Linked DNA regions of Rattus norvegicus. The protein of the gene in region 3 purifies or fractionates together with the protein of the main gene of each other region. This does not show direct contact. Links are inferred from orthologs where the notes say so. Each region holds a gene or a part of one and is shown on either strand. Other genes may lie near its edges.

Region 1 (3,516 bases), on a different chromosome or scaffold from region 3:
ACACACACACACACACACACACACACACACACACACACACACACACACACGTCCTTCCAGGATATGATGTACTTATTCTAAAGAAACTATGGCCACCGTGGGAAGATTCCCACTTCTGCATTAATATCTGATACATATAAACTAGGTACACCAGAATTACCAAAAAGATGATCTTTCAAAGAGAGAATCTCTAATACTTAAAATGTATTTTAAATATTTTAAACATTAAAAAATTTGCACCAGTTAAAAACTATACATCTTCAATTTTCTTCTCATTAAAATCCCAGTAATTATAAGTTAGAAGGGGGGGGGATCTCATAAAACAGTTAGCAACTGAAAATAACTTCTAAGGCCTGAAATAGCCATGAAAATGAAGTGGTGATGTTCTAGAACATGTTAACATTTTTTGTTTGATTCTGAAAATTTCAGAGAATATACAGATAATCTCAATATCTTAATATTCTCTGAGTGAAAAAAATCTATTTTAATTTATGATGACCTAAAATCCTAGTGCCATACCTAAAGGCAACAGGAGGAACAGTCATCAAACAGAACTTTATAATGAAAATTCAAATGATAGAAAGAACAAAGTCAAGTTACAGAAAGATTCACACACACACACACACACACACACACACACACCTGTAAGATCCTGAAGTCACCCATGTAAAACCATTTAGAAGTACATTTAAAGGTGCCTTTCGGGCCTGGTGAGGGGCTGCACTGGCTACAGGCACTCGCTGCCAAGCCTGAAGACTGAAATTTCATCGCCAGAACCCAGACAGCAGCAGAACTGACGCTGCAATCTGACCCCAACCTCCACGTGGGTGCAGAGGCAAATACTCCCTGCCCTACTCCCACACAAAATATACAACAAGCACAAAAGGTCTGTTTCCCACGTGCCCTGCTGTAGAGCACTTAAAGGTGGTCTTTAAGTACTGGATGTGAGAGGACATTTGAGTATGTAAACATCTGCCCACATGTGAAGACTCAGAATCCACAAGGTCATGCTGCACACCAGACTGCAGGCTTGGCAATGCGCCTTTCCACAGTACACAAAGATCAAAACTCATGTTTTCCGTTTTTGTGGTCATCATAACCTAGACACGTGTGAGTTACCAAGATGAGCTCTGGCTCTGGTTTCACCCAGGTAGAGACAAACTGAGTGACTGAGGTGAGCAGTCTCAGTGCTACCTGAAGTCATCCAGGGTTTCTTGTATCATGTTCTGAATGAAGCGGATCTGGACAGAGGTAAGTGGCGCGGCCGGCCGACTGTTCCCAAGGGTGTCGACTATTTTTTCTGAGAGTGAACTGGCTACTCCAGCAGTGACGGAGGAGGCTGCCTTTGGTACTAGAACAAATGGAGAAAATATTGATAGTTAGCTTGGACTAAAAGACATCAAGCATTTCTAAATAAGATTTGGTAAAGAAAGACTTGGGAAACTGCAAAAAGAACAGTGTTCCTATGACATTTAGAAAAACCCACTGTCTGGAGTCCAAATTTTAGAAACTTTCTATGACATTATTTCTAACAGTCATTTATCTGTATATATAAACTGCCAACTGTCTAATGTCGTAACACATGACAGAGGGATTAATCTTGAAGAATCCCTGAACCATTTTCCCTTATAAAAGATGTCTGTGACAAGTTGCAGCACAAACCAGATAAACCAGGACGACTGAAAACAAACAGGAGGGACGCAGGCTTGAAGCAGCGCCACTGGCAAAGCCTCTCTTAGACATCTTCTCTTAGAGGCCAGCTGAGCTCCCTTAAATGCAACTGGGTCTTATGTGTCTACAGCATAAACTCTAACTATAAAACCTAATACAAATTTTCTACAGAATTCAAGCCCTTCCAAAAAGCCTTTCTTCATTATGCACGCGGAGTTAAACCAAGCCCTTGTATATTAGACTGAGAGAGAGGCTCATGTCAAACGATGAAATCAGGGTTGATGGATTTAACAAACTCTCGTGCCTTCTAACAAGAAGCTCAGCGGTCTATAACGCATTCCTTTGGTGTTATCTGGCCCATGGTTGTTCTGTTCATCCCTTAAAAGCAGAAAAGCCAGGGACCTTTCCAACTGCACATTTCAAACCTGAGGCCCTTCACTGTGCTTACCTGGGGTTGAGGGTCCATTGACTGAGGGTTCGTGCATCAACTGGACTTCAATATCTTTTTCTGGCTTTTCAAACTTTTCAAGATTTCTTGCTTGGTTAGATGATGGACAGGTGTTTAGAATTCCAGGTTCAGCACCAGAGGAGATCAACTTTGTAAACTTGTATTTAAAACAAACAGTCACTTTAATATGCCATTTCTTTTTTTTTTTATTCATTTATTATATATGAGTACACTGTAGCTGTCTTCAGACACACCAGAAGAGGGCATCAGATCTCTTTACAGATGGTTGTGAGCCACCATGTGGTTGCTGGGAATTGAACTCAGGACCTCAGGAAGAGCAGTCAGTGCTCTTAACCACTGAGCCATCTCTCCAGCCCTAATATGCCATTTCTTATTTTATCCTATTACCCACAAACTTTGTATCTGGTTCTCACTGCTCTCCCCACAGGCAGGGTCAGGAAAATGAGAGACAGAGAGAGACTGAGAAGAAGCCAGTGCTAGCAGCACAGCAAGCATGTTAATCAAAATGTGCATTTTACAACAAGCTAATCTACTAAGCACTTGCTGACTACACACGATAATGCAAATCCCTGGGAGAAGAAGGAGGGGAGAGAAGAGAACTCTGGCCTTTCATGTAGTATCTAGATGGAAATACTGCAAACTAAAGACATTTTTTGTACTTCTGGCTTGATTCTCTTTTGTCTTGTACTTTTAAGTGTAAATAAGAAAAAAAACACAGCTATTTGAATACCTATAGGTTGACCTTCCTATAACCTGAGACCCAAGGTGCTAATACTTTAGTCATTCTTAGCACCCTCAGATTTGCTCTACCACTAAGAACCACTTGATCACCAGCTTGCTTTAGGCTGCAGTAGAAATATGTTTTAAAAGAATCTCACATACATTCCCCCAACCCCCACCCTCCCACACACATATCTCCTTTCTTTTACGTCTCCTTAAGAAATCAGGATTTTACTCAGGCAGACCCAGTGAACTGAAAAATATGCATAAAAACACATCCACCAGTATTTTAGCTTTACTTTTCAGAAGTAAGAATTAATTGGAAATTTCTTTTCTTCAATAAGAATGAAGAACGCACACAGATATAGGGTGATAATATACATTATTTTAATTTGATTTTTCTCTATTTAAACATGAGGTTCAGTCTTTCCCTTGCCTTCATGAGAATAAAAATTATTTCTCCTCAAAAAAAAAAAAAAATTCAGTTATAAGGTATTCTCTTGCAGATATGTGGTTATCTGTAGCCCAGACAAGGTTTGACAGGTTTCAGAACTGTTCTTCAGTTATTAAAAACTGGCATCAAGATTTAAACCTATGTTCCTGCCTAGTAAGTACACAGCATTAATAATTAAGACACAGATACTGGCGGCCGCCCT
Region 2 (3,516 bases), on a different chromosome or scaffold from region 3:
GCCTAGCAACCACACAGTCAATGGCACGAGACCCCACCCCCACCTGCTTGACTTCACACCATGCTCAGCCCCTCATTGGCTCCTGCCTGGTCCCACCTCTCAGCCCCTGGTTTTGGGAACAATGTGCCAGACCCCACAGATGCTGGACAAAGGAACCTACTGCCGCCCCTACCAAACTCCCACCAGTCACGTGCCGCCCCAAACAGACACAATGACTCCAGTGTGATACAAAGTCTTTATATTAACTCATTCCGACAGCCTCTGTCCTTCCTTGTCCCTTCTCATCCTGGTCCTCATCAGGGTTACTGGGGTCAGGTCCCCCTCCACACCACCAGAGCTGTAGCTGACATTCAGGATGGGCGTGGCGCAGGGAGAGCAGGGGAAGGTCCAGCTCCGGCTCACCTTCATCCCCGCTATTGGTGGGCTCTGGAAACATGCGCTGGCCAGAAGCAGTGGCCAGCAGAGGCAAGGTAGGGTGAAGGCTGGAGAAGAGAGCAGTCTGTCAGCACCTAGGTCAGGACAATCCCCGAGAGATCCACCTTCCTCCCAAACCCTGGCCCCAAGCTCCTTCAGTGAACTGAGGACCTGACTCCATTGGTGCAGTCGTCCTGGGGCAGAAAAGTCATCACTGGCTCCAGCTGCTTGCAGTCACTGAACGCTCCACTGATGTCCCACACGGAGACAACTCCACTGGTGTTGCCACTCACTAGGAACTGCCCGCTCCTGGGAAAGAAGGAGACTTGTGCTACACTGGCACCGCCCGTGGGGTAGAGGCCATTCATATCCAGGTGCGGCAAGACTCTGACAGTCTTACTTGAGCCTGGGAGGGGCCACAACCACTTACGGGTCCAGATCAAAGTAGATGCGCTGATTGGTGGTCACTTCCCGACTCAGAGACCACAGGAGGTGGCCCGGCTGCCGGAGATCCCAGCACAGAAGTTCAGCATCCTGAGGACAAGAACAGGCGTCTGGAGTCAGCCTCTCCTCTGACTCCACCTCGGCCTCCCCGAATCCCTCGTACTTGGCACGTCTCAACACGTAACAAATGACATCCCACTCCTGACTACCCATGTGCTTTGGGCCCTGTCCAGTACCTTTCGGGCTCCTGAGAAGAAGAGGTTGCCATCAGGGTGAAAGCAAAGGTGGGTGATACCTCCTTGATGGCCCCCCAGCAAGGCAAGAGGTGAACCATCATCCCAGGCATACAGGCCCAGGGTGCGGCCATAGGAGCCACAGGCATAGAGGGGCTGGGCTGGACTAAAGGCTAGACAGGAGATGATGCCACTCTGGCCCTGCTTTTTGGCTGGGGAGAAAACAAGGAAACAGTTAGCACAGGACATTAACTAGCTACAGACCTCCACCTGCCCTGGACTGACGTGCGTACTGGGACTCATTCCCCCACTGACTGTCGAAAGCAATCTAAAGATCTCTAATGGTTCCCAGATCACTCAGTTCCCAAATGAACTTAGCATCCCTCTTCCCTCTCACACCCAACTTCTCCCTGGAAGGGATAGAGAACTAAAGGCCTACAGGGAACGGGACTCCCCTTCGCTTTCACCTTTCTAAAGTTCAGTGGTACAATGCTTGTCTAACACAAGAGCCTGAGGAGTCTCCTCCATGCTCGGAGGCTTCTGTCTCTCTGGAGCTGGCACGTGCCTCCCAGGTTCCCACAGGTGCCCCAGCTCACTCAAGGCCCCCTCCCAGGAAAGACTCTCTCATCTCCCCCACCTTGGAGGCTTACCAAATGTGGTTCGCACCTCACAGTCTCTGCCAGGCCTGGATGTGGAAAAGACACGCACAGTCCGGTTGAAGCCACAAAAGAGTTGGGAACCATCCGGGGAGAAACAGAGTGAGTGGGCCGCTGTCAACTCGTCCTAGGGGCAAGAGAGGGCTGGAAAAGGTCTGCAAAGCTTCAGTTCTCTTCCAGGAAGGAGGGCCAGGCCACAGGGAGCACAGTGCCGGGCAGGGGAGTCAGTACCAGGTGGTTGTAAGCGCGAAAGGAAGCCCGGAGTTCTCCAGTGAATGCATCCCAGATGTGAATTGGGTTCTCCCGGCTGCTGCTGGCCACACTAAGAGAAACACAGTCACTCAGACCTGGCTCTGACTGTCAAAGGGAAGCCAAGTGCCCAGCCCTCTCAGCTTCTGTCAGAAGGACACTCTTAGCACCTTCTCTCTCCTTTCCTCCCTCCCTCCCTCCTTCCTGGTAGCCCTTCTTGAAACTGGATGTGTGGGCTGGGTAAGGGGATGATGGGGACCACAGTGAAGTGCACAGTGAGAGACACTACCACTTACTAGGAGGTGTCTGGCTGGGTGGAGGACATCAGAGAATACCAGCAGTAATCATAGATGGTGTCACCCTCTACCATTCGCAGGACAGGAACCTGGACAGAGATGTGGGAACGCTGGAGTCACTGGCGGGGGAAAGCAGGCAAAAACTTGTACACTGCCTGAGGGGAGCTGCGACAGTGGGAGACTAACTTAGGAGGTAGGAGAAAGCAGGTGGGGCACAAAGAACAGAACCCTTACTGTTCTAGCATTCAACTCAGGCACTACTGTCAGGCCGGGCCACCAAAGGCAGCAGATTCAGAATTCTTTTAAACACTTGTGGAAGATACAAATAATACCCTAATCTAAAGACAAAGAACCAATCAGGGTCTGTGGCATTCTATCCCTTATAAAAATTACCAGGCCCTAGGGATTTAGCACAGCGGCAACATTGATTGCCTGCCACTCGCAAGGCCCTGAGTCCGATCGTCGGCAATGCAAAAATAAATAAAAGTGCAAAGCTGCAAGGACATCTGAAATACCATGCATGTGTGTGCTCAGACAGCACTGCACCATGTGGAAGCCAGAGGACGACCTCAAGTGATGAATAGGTTCTTTCCTTCCAGTGTATGGCTCTAGAAATCTAACATCTCTACCTGTAGCACCACCCCAGATATTTGCCCCCAGACAGGATTTCCTAGATCCCAGACTGGCCCTGAACTTCTTTTTTTTAATTTATTTATTCTATATAACTACACTGTCACTGTCTTCAGACACACCAGAGGAGGGCGTCAGATCTCTTTACAGATGGTTGTGAGCCACCATGTGGTTGCTGGGAATTGAACTCAGGACCTCTGGAAGAGCAGTCAGTGCTCTTAACCACTGAGCCATCTCTCCAGTACCTGGCCCTGAACTTCTGATCCTCCTGCCTCCACCTCCAGAGGACAGGGTCACAGGTGTGTGTCATCACAGCCTGTTTTGCCGGGAAAGGAACCAAGGGCTTTATGTTTGTGAGACAGGTTCTCTACTGAGCAGGCCGCATCCTCAGCAAACACACAAATGAACACTTAAAAAGCAAAGCGAGGGCTGTGGGCACACTGCAGTGGTAGAAGACCTGTCTGGCCAGCATGAGGCCCTTGGGTCAATCTTCTCTGCCACAAACAAGCAAGTACCTATGACCTTTCTATCCAGCGGTCTCTTGCCTGTAACCCCAGCATTTATTTGAACCCAAGACAGAAGGAACTGCTGTGA
Region 3 (3,962 bases):
TAATATTTTTACTGACAGTGGTCTCTAAGCCACATGAAATCAAGTCTTTCAATCATTCACTTAAAAATATATTTATGAGTTTGAAAGTGTGCTGGCACATGATTTTAGTTCCAGGATTTGGGAGACAAAGGCAAGCAGATCTGAGTCCAAAGATAGTCTGGCGTGCATAGAAAATTCTAGGCAACCCCGACAAGATCCTGTCTCCAAAGAGGGGACAGGGTTCTTTCAGAGGACCTAGGCTCTTTCAGAAGTCCTACCACTCACATAGTAACTTTCATAACAGCCTGGAACTCCAGTTCCAGGGGGATCTGACAACCTCTTCTAGGCTTCTTGTGCATCAGGCATGCACATGGTACACGTACACATACTTGGAGGCAAAACACTCAAACAATGAATAAATAAGTAAATCTTTAAAAACCTCCCTTCCTGTATCACTGTCAGGGAAACATGCGTTTTCCTCTGTTCAACTGTACAGAACCATAGGAAGTTTGCTATTACAAATAATGAAGATTTGTAATATTTGAAATATTAGGGAGTCATCCAGAATGAACTGCTATTATCACTTAAAACATGTGTTACCTTTGCAGCATTGATATTTCCAGATTGAACTTTTCTTCCAGACTCACGCTTTGTATTCTGACCTAAAACAGACAAAAACACGTGTCAATAGCCCAGTGTACACAATCATTTTATTTCCTAACTTAAAGAAAATGTTTACATTTTTTAATGTATATATGTACATATCAAGTGTACAATGCGTAGCACAACTTTGGAGGTCAGAAGACAACTTTCAGGACTAAATTCTCTTTCTATCATATAAGTGCCAGGGATTAAACTTGGTCATCTAAGTCAGGTATGGTGGCGCATGTCTCTGACCCCAGCACTTATAAGGCAGAGTCAGGAGGATCTCTGTGACTTGGAAGCCAGCCTGGTTTACATAGAGAACCTGTCTCAAACGAAACAAACAAACCATAATAAAAAGACCTCCAGTTATTATTAGGCTTGGTGCTTTTTTTCTTTTTAAACCTGCTTAGGGATCCTACCACCAACCTTATTTATCAAGTTTTGAAAACAAAAATACAAAGGTTTCAGTGTATAACCAGCAGTTACAATTACAATGGTTTAAGACTGGGCATGGTAGCATATGCCTTTAATCTGAGCACTGGAGATGCAGATGAATTTCTGAACCAACTCAACTCGGTCTATAAAGTTCCAGGCCAGTCAGAGTTACAAAGTGAGATCCTGTCTCAAAAAGCACCTTTAGGGGCTGGAGAGATGGCCCTGTAGTTAAAAGCATTGGAAGCTCTTGCAGAGAACTCTGGTTCTATTTCAGCATCAACATGGAAGCTCACAACCATCTATAACTACACTTCCAGGGGATCTGATGTCCTCTTCTGGTGTCTGCAGACACTGACATACATGCAGGCAAAAGACACACAGAATGAAGAGAAGCCCCAGTACATTAAGAGATAACCTGAAATGCTTTAACTTCAGAATCTTGACCAATACTTTCCTTGTATGCATGCTCACACACTTCCAGCGATTCATATCTTTAGGTCCCTGAATGGGGCTCAGCAGGATGGTGATTTTTCCCAGAGTGCACATCCCTTACAACCTCCGTGGGATTAGGAGCTACAGAGTCTCAAAGATTAGTGACCAAGAAAGTGTGCTTGTGAGGCTGGAAAGATGGTTCAGCTTCAATTCCCAGCCCCCCATGGTGGTCACAACAGCCCATAACTCCAGTTCCAGGGGATGTTGATGCCTGGAGAGCCAGCCTGTAGGTAAACTTTCTCAGGAGACTAGAGCAGAAAACGATGACTCCTTATGCCTCTGGTCTGCTAATTAAAACCCCATAGATTCGTTCATCTAAGTGTTGGTAGGAGGGGTAGTGTCACTGAACCCCTTTGTCTCTCCTCTCAGTGTGGCCATACTACATGTTTTTCTCTTTAGTATGTCTTAACTTTGAACCCGGTTTACTGAATTATTCTCAATAGCTCGGGTAACTGACAAGGAACTGGTGCTCTTTACTGAGATGAGAGGCGTTAGTTAAAGAAAACAGGAGAGGAATCTGGGAGAACTTAACTGGCTGGTGGGAAAGATCACATTCAAGATCGGGAACGCAAGGAATGTCATTTCAGAACAAGGGTTGCTGAATGACCGCTACTGAAAAGATGCCATTTCCGATCTGCCGGTAAAGGAAGCTTTACTTACCAACTTAACTCATAATTCTTTGGAGAAGTACTACGGTCTCCTAAACACTGTTATTAAAGCATAAATCAAGCGAGTTGCCGTAAGTCACGCCTCTCCTAAGGGATGGACCGAGGATACGAAGCAAGGCCTAACGTTAAGAACCACTATTACTAACTACCAGACGGAAATCATGCTGTAAAGGACACGGGGGCGTGGAGGGTGGCGACTAAAGAACGGAACACAAATGGGATAAAGCACACGTTAAAAACTAGCGACTCCGAGAGCAGAAAGTCATTTTGTCAAAAGAGGGCGACAGGAGAAGGCAGGAGGAGAAAAACTAAGGAAGGAGGTTCTAAGGCGAAAAGACGACTGGAAAGCACGAGGGCCGAGTCATGGCGGGACGGGGCCGGGAAACACTGGCAAGCATGGGGAGAGAGGGGCGGAGGGAGCCATCGCTTCCCTGAACTCACTGAGCACGAGCACTGGACGGTGGCCCATCATGGCGGCACGACGAAGAGCCGACTTTCCAGAGCTGGGGGAAATCGGCAGAACCTTCTGGAGAGAAGAGCAGCGAAGGAAACGCTGCCTCCTCAGGACTGACACAGAAACATGCTAACCTCTGAAGTACCGCCAATCACTAAGCCCATTTCATTGATTGGCATAAACATAGGCCAATCGTAGGTATTAGCCCCGCCCTCTACGCAAGAAAGGCACGGCAAGCTAGCTAGAGAGAGCATGATGGGTGGGGGGACGCAAGCGCTTGCGCACTAGCGTGGCCGCTCCCGGCCGCGTGCGGGCAGAATGTCTGCGCAAGCGCCAAGGCACGGGCGGTTAGCTGGCTCGCTACAGCGCTTGAGTGCCCGCTAGAGGGTGGGTGCTGGGGTTGAGGCTTTGGATTAATGCTGTAGGTGAGATCATGAAGCTCTATTTTGTCCATCGGTTCTCGTCCGACCGTGAAGGCCAAGAAAGGCATAATAGTTCGCCACTTTTTATTCCAGCTTTAGCAGTAGGGAGGAGCACAGGAGCCGGAAATACCGGTAGTTGCCAGAAATATTGAGGCGGTGTAGAAGTGGAGGTTTTCCTATGAGGCGGGGCCGCAACGGCTCCCCCACCCCACCCCGGAGCATGCTGGGAGTTGTGGTTTATTCTAGACGCGCTGCTTTTCTTTAAAAGAAAAGAAAAGAAAAATCTTGGTGTTTTAGATGTACCTATTTTTTTTTTTATTTTTATGTGTATGGTGGGTTTGCCTATGCGTATGTAGGTGCACCACTTGCGAGAGGAGATCAGGAGGGAGTCTGATCCTCTGGAACTGGAATTGATGATTGTGAACCACCTCGTGGGACCACGTGGGTGCTAGGAAGTGAACCCATGGCCTCTGTGGGACCATCTAGTGCTCTTAACTGTTGAGCTATCTCTCCTGTCCTAATGTTTTACGTCTTAGAAAAATTACTTTGAATCTTAAGGCAATAAGACGTAAAGGAGAAGCTCTTACATTTACCCCGAATATCCTAAGTCGTGTTTCTTGTAGAATTTTGAGCCTTTTCCCCCCACTGCATAGCCTGATCACTGGTTAGTGACCAAGGAAAGGGAGCTGTAGTTTTTTAAATTACCATATTATCTTACTAGAGTTCCAAGGCTGGCCCAAGACTCGTGTAGCCCAGGCGGGTCGCAAACTGGAGACAGCCCTCTTGCCAGATCACTCCATATAGGAAAAAACAAAAAACAAGGCTAGTAATTAAACATTTAGAAGACTTGAAGGGTCATGACATGTT
Region 4 (3,516 bases), on a different chromosome or scaffold from region 3:
CAGAGAGACCTGTAATCCACGGAAAATCCATGGCCAACCCCTTGAGAGTGGGGGATGGGAGCTCTCAGCTAAGCAAAACGTCTGTCTGCATGAGGAGCCAAGCAGGTCTTGCTGGCGTACACCCATTATAGCAGAATTTAAGACACTGAGGCAGAAGAATTGTCCTAAATTCAATGCAGTATGGGCTATAAAACAAGGCCATGCCTCAAATTAAATACACCACAGCTGGCTTGGCGGTTCTAATGTCACAATCCAAGAAGCAGGAGGATCTCTGTGAGTGAGGCCCTGTTCATAAAGTAACAGCTCACATCTCGTTCACCAGGCCCTGTACACTGGATGTGGTGGCACTGGTGTCCTCACAGCGCCCAGGTGGTGAAGGCTGGGGACAGGCAGCACCCCCAGTCCCCTAGCCTACTTAAAGACAAGCAAGTTCTCATGGCTGGCACTCACCCTGCTGGCAGCTCTGTCCACTGCAGACGCAGGAAGCCAGAAGGAAACATGATTAGGGGTTTGTAACCATGCAAGGCTTCGGCGAGTGAAACAGCTCCTTCCTGGTCAGAGCCTGACCTCCCACATCCCAGGGAGATGCCTCTGCAGAGACAGCTAGTGTGTTCCCAAGGACAAACAGCATGAAAATCGAACCCCACAGCTGCAGCCCTACTAGCTGTCCCCCTCCCGCCAGCGCTGAGTTGCTAACTCACCTCTGGACCCCTCGGTGTCCACACCCACACGGTCTTCCTTAACAGCAGCCACCAGCTGGGCCTGCGCAGCCAGCGCCCCAGAGAGGGCCAGCAGCCCAGTGGCCCCGGCACCCACCAGGCCAGCTGGGCGTGGGGTGAGAGGCACAGGGGGTGCATGGGACAGCGGCTGGAGCTGATTCTGCTGCTGAAGGGGGAGAGGATTGCCAGGGGGAGGCGGGTGGCGGGGACAGGGTACACGGAGGGTGAATGCTGTACCCACTGGGTGCCTGGGCTGGGAGCAGGGTGTCTCCAATTATGGGCTGGGGTGACTCACCCCCAAGAGGTTGTTCAGTTCCCCCACGGTCACCTGCTTGGCTCGGTCCACAGCCTGGAGCACCTGCTGCTGATGCTAGTGGGGAAGCGGAAGGCAGGCACTGAGCAGCAGGCCGTGCAGTCTGTCTGTTTGTCTGTCTGTCTATGTGTGCCTCTGCGTGTGGAGACACGGCGGGTGCTACTGCCATCTCCCACCTTATTTTGCGGTGGGTCTCCCGGCCCAGCTGTAATCTGTCCAGTAACCCCAGGATCTCCTGTCCCTGTCTCCCCTGCTGCAGTTACAGAGGAGAAACACCACACCTGGTTGGTTCTTCTGGTTGCTGGAGATTTGAACTCAGGTCCTCATGCTTGTGGGCCACCTTCCCCAGCCCCTCTCTGACTGTTTAACTGACAGTTCAGAGACCTGGCCTCTTCCCCAGGCCCTGGGGCCACAGTTCCAGTGCTTTGTGGAGCTTACTGGACCCTGAAGGCTGCTGGGCAGTGTTCCAGCCTCTAACCACTTGCTAGGAGGTCCATGTAACACCACGGTCTGTCCGCATAGACAGTGTAATGAATAACCACTCACATACAAAATAAAATACCTGCATTCCAAGCACCTACATGCCAAGTGCTCACATACCAAGCACCTACATGCCAAGTGCTCACATACCAAGCACCTACATGCCAAGTGCTCACATACCAAGCACCTACATGCCAAGTGCCCACATACCGAGCACCTACATGCCAAGTACCCACATACTAAGTACCTACATGCCAAGTACCCACATACTAAGCACCCACCTCAGAATGTGCAACCTGGGGCTGGGCATACAGGTCAGGGGAAGACCCACCCAGCGTGTATATCCCCAGCACAACATTAAATATGGATGGAGTCAATAAATTTGAACACACATGTCTGGTGGCTCTACTCAGGTTGGTAGCTGGCCTCACTGTGATATGATCTGTCACCCACTCTCAGGGGAAAGGCAGCAGGTCCCACAGAAGAAAGCTGAGGATTCTGGCCATGTGGGGCACCCAGCATGCCCACCCTGAGGTGGGACCTGCCGTGTCTCTGGAGGAACATCACATAGAAGTGGGAATGGCTAACACCAAGGTCCTGTGGTCAGCAGGAGTGAGGAATTGCTCACACAAAGTTTTCTGATGTTTAGCCTCTGCCTGTGCTGATTCTGTGTTTTCAAAATCACTGTCCTAAAAATGCCTAACAAAACTTGCTAATCAGAGCCATTTCAAGCACACGACCGGCTCAGGCTCAGTGACATGAAACTCATTCACAGGGCTGTGTGGCCTTCCCCACCACCCACCTCTGGAACTTCCCAACCCCCCACTTCCTGGCCCTGGATCTGATAATTTCAGAGTCCTTGGGAAAGGAAACCTGCATATTGTCCCGTGTGTGGCCCAACTCACCAAGCATCACCCTGTAAGATTAGTCCCATAATTGCTCACCTAACTCTCAGGATACCCTAACCAGGACATAAGCACAGAGAGGCATGTATCTTGCCCAAGAGCACAAAGCCAGGCCTTGTACCAGCAGCCCTGGCTGCAGGAGGCTACAAGATGTAAGCCATGGGTACAGGGGCACCCCTAGCTAGCACCATCGAGAGCAGAGAGCCAGGCTTAGAGAAATGGCTGAATCAGTAAAGTACTTGTCATGCAAGCATAGGGACCTGAGTTTGATTCTCCAGAAACCCTGAAGAAAGCCAGGCATGGTAGTGTGTGTCTATAATTCTAGCACCTGTGAGGAGACAGGAAGATCCTGGGACTCACTGACTGGACAGCATTGCCAACTTGGCAAAGTTCCAGGCCAGTCAGAGTCCCTGCCTAGTTAAAGGACGGGATAGCAAGGTGTGTGAGCATGTGAAAGCATTGTGGCCTAGCCAACAACAAGCCACAGAGTGAGAGGAGAGGGCCAGTTCCTGCAAGTTGACCTCTGACCTCCATATGTGTGCTATGGCCCTTGTACCTCCTCCCAAAAAATAAATTATAGGTTGGCTCAGTGGCTAAGAGCTCTGGTTGCTCTCTCAAAGGAACAGGGTTCGATTCCTGGCTCACAAGCCGTCACAACTCCAATTCCAGAGGACACAGTGCACTCTTCCGGCCTCTGCGGGTACTGCACACATGGTGTACAGCTACGCAGACAAAACACCCATACATATAAAATTAAATAAGTGCATAAAAGTGTAATAAAAGCAAATGAAGGTGGATGGCACCTCGGGAGGCACACTGAGGCTGACTTCTGGCCTAGTTATGAGTGCACACATGAACATAGGAAGGGCAGAAAGTCCCCTGGTCCTCACCCCAGCCGGTGTCTCCCCAGGCCTGGGACGCCCTCCCTGCCCCCAAGGCTCTATGCACTTACCTCCTGAGTGAGGAATGGGACCATCTGGGCACAGATTGCACTGAGGCGCTTCACGATCTCAGCCTGAGAGAGAAGTAACAAGCTGCAGCAAGCTGGATGGGCTGGGAGGGGGACAGCCACCTCCATCATCCAGACCCCAGCTGGACT

The links.
Region 1: the proteins of Cct3 (region 3) and Nedd1 purify together in Homo sapiens (affinity purification with mass spectrometry; 3 studies listed by BioGRID and IntAct, with this or other methods). This does not show direct contact. The link is inferred for Rattus norvegicus from reciprocal best matches to the Homo sapiens genes CCT3 and NEDD1.
Region 2: the proteins of Cct3 (region 3) and Wrap53 purify together in Homo sapiens (co-immunoprecipitation; 3 studies listed by BioGRID and IntAct, with this or other methods). This does not show direct contact. The link is inferred for Rattus norvegicus from reciprocal best matches to the Homo sapiens genes CCT3 and WRAP53.
Region 4: the proteins of Cct3 (region 3) and Tle2 purify together in Homo sapiens (affinity purification with mass spectrometry; 3 studies listed by BioGRID and IntAct, with this or other methods). This does not show direct contact. The link is inferred for Rattus norvegicus from reciprocal best matches to the Homo sapiens genes CCT3 and TLE2.

The regions. Positions count from the first base shown.
Region 1 is NC_086025.1:29,123,635-29,127,150, forward strand, and holds part of Nedd1 (protein NEDD1), read right to left. Parts: intron 2,277-3,516; coding exon 2,120-2,276; intron 1,352-2,119; coding exon 1,195-1,351; intron 548-1,194; exon of another isoform or gene 405-547; intron 1-404. UniProt on the Homo sapiens protein: Required for mitosis progression. Promotes the nucleation of microtubules from the spindle.
Region 2 is NC_086028.1:54,780,652-54,784,167, forward strand, and holds the end of Wrap53 (telomerase Cajal body protein 1), read right to left. Parts: intron 2,412-3,516; exon of another isoform or gene 2,382-2,411; coding exon 2,293-2,381; intron 2,070-2,292; coding exon 1,979-2,069; intron 1,875-1,978; coding exon 1,742-1,874; intron 1,304-1,741; coding exon 1,095-1,303; intron 949-1,094; coding exon 845-948; intron 724-844; coding exon 586-723; intron 483-585; coding exon 242-482; 3' UTR 224-241; downstream 1-223. UniProt on the Homo sapiens protein: RNA chaperone that plays a key role in telomere maintenance and RNA localization to Cajal bodies. Specifically recognizes and binds the Cajal body box (CAB box) present in both small Cajal body RNAs (scaRNAs) and telomerase RNA template component (TERC).
Region 3 is NC_086020.1:176,062,368-176,066,329, reverse strand, and holds the start of Cct3 (T-complex protein 1 subunit gamma), read right to left. Parts: upstream 2,802-3,962; 5' UTR 2,692-2,801; coding exon 2,661-2,691; intron 642-2,660; coding exon 580-641; intron 1-579. UniProt on the Homo sapiens protein: Component of the chaperonin-containing T-complex (TRiC), a molecular chaperone complex that assists the folding of actin, tubulin and other proteins upon ATP hydrolysis.
Region 4 is NC_086025.1:8,779,494-8,783,009, forward strand, and holds part of Tle2 (transducin-like enhancer protein 2), read right to left. Parts: intron 3,433-3,516; coding exon 3,370-3,432; intron 1,090-3,369; coding exon 1,015-1,089; intron 886-1,014; coding exon 702-885; intron 471-701; coding exon 451-470; intron 1-450.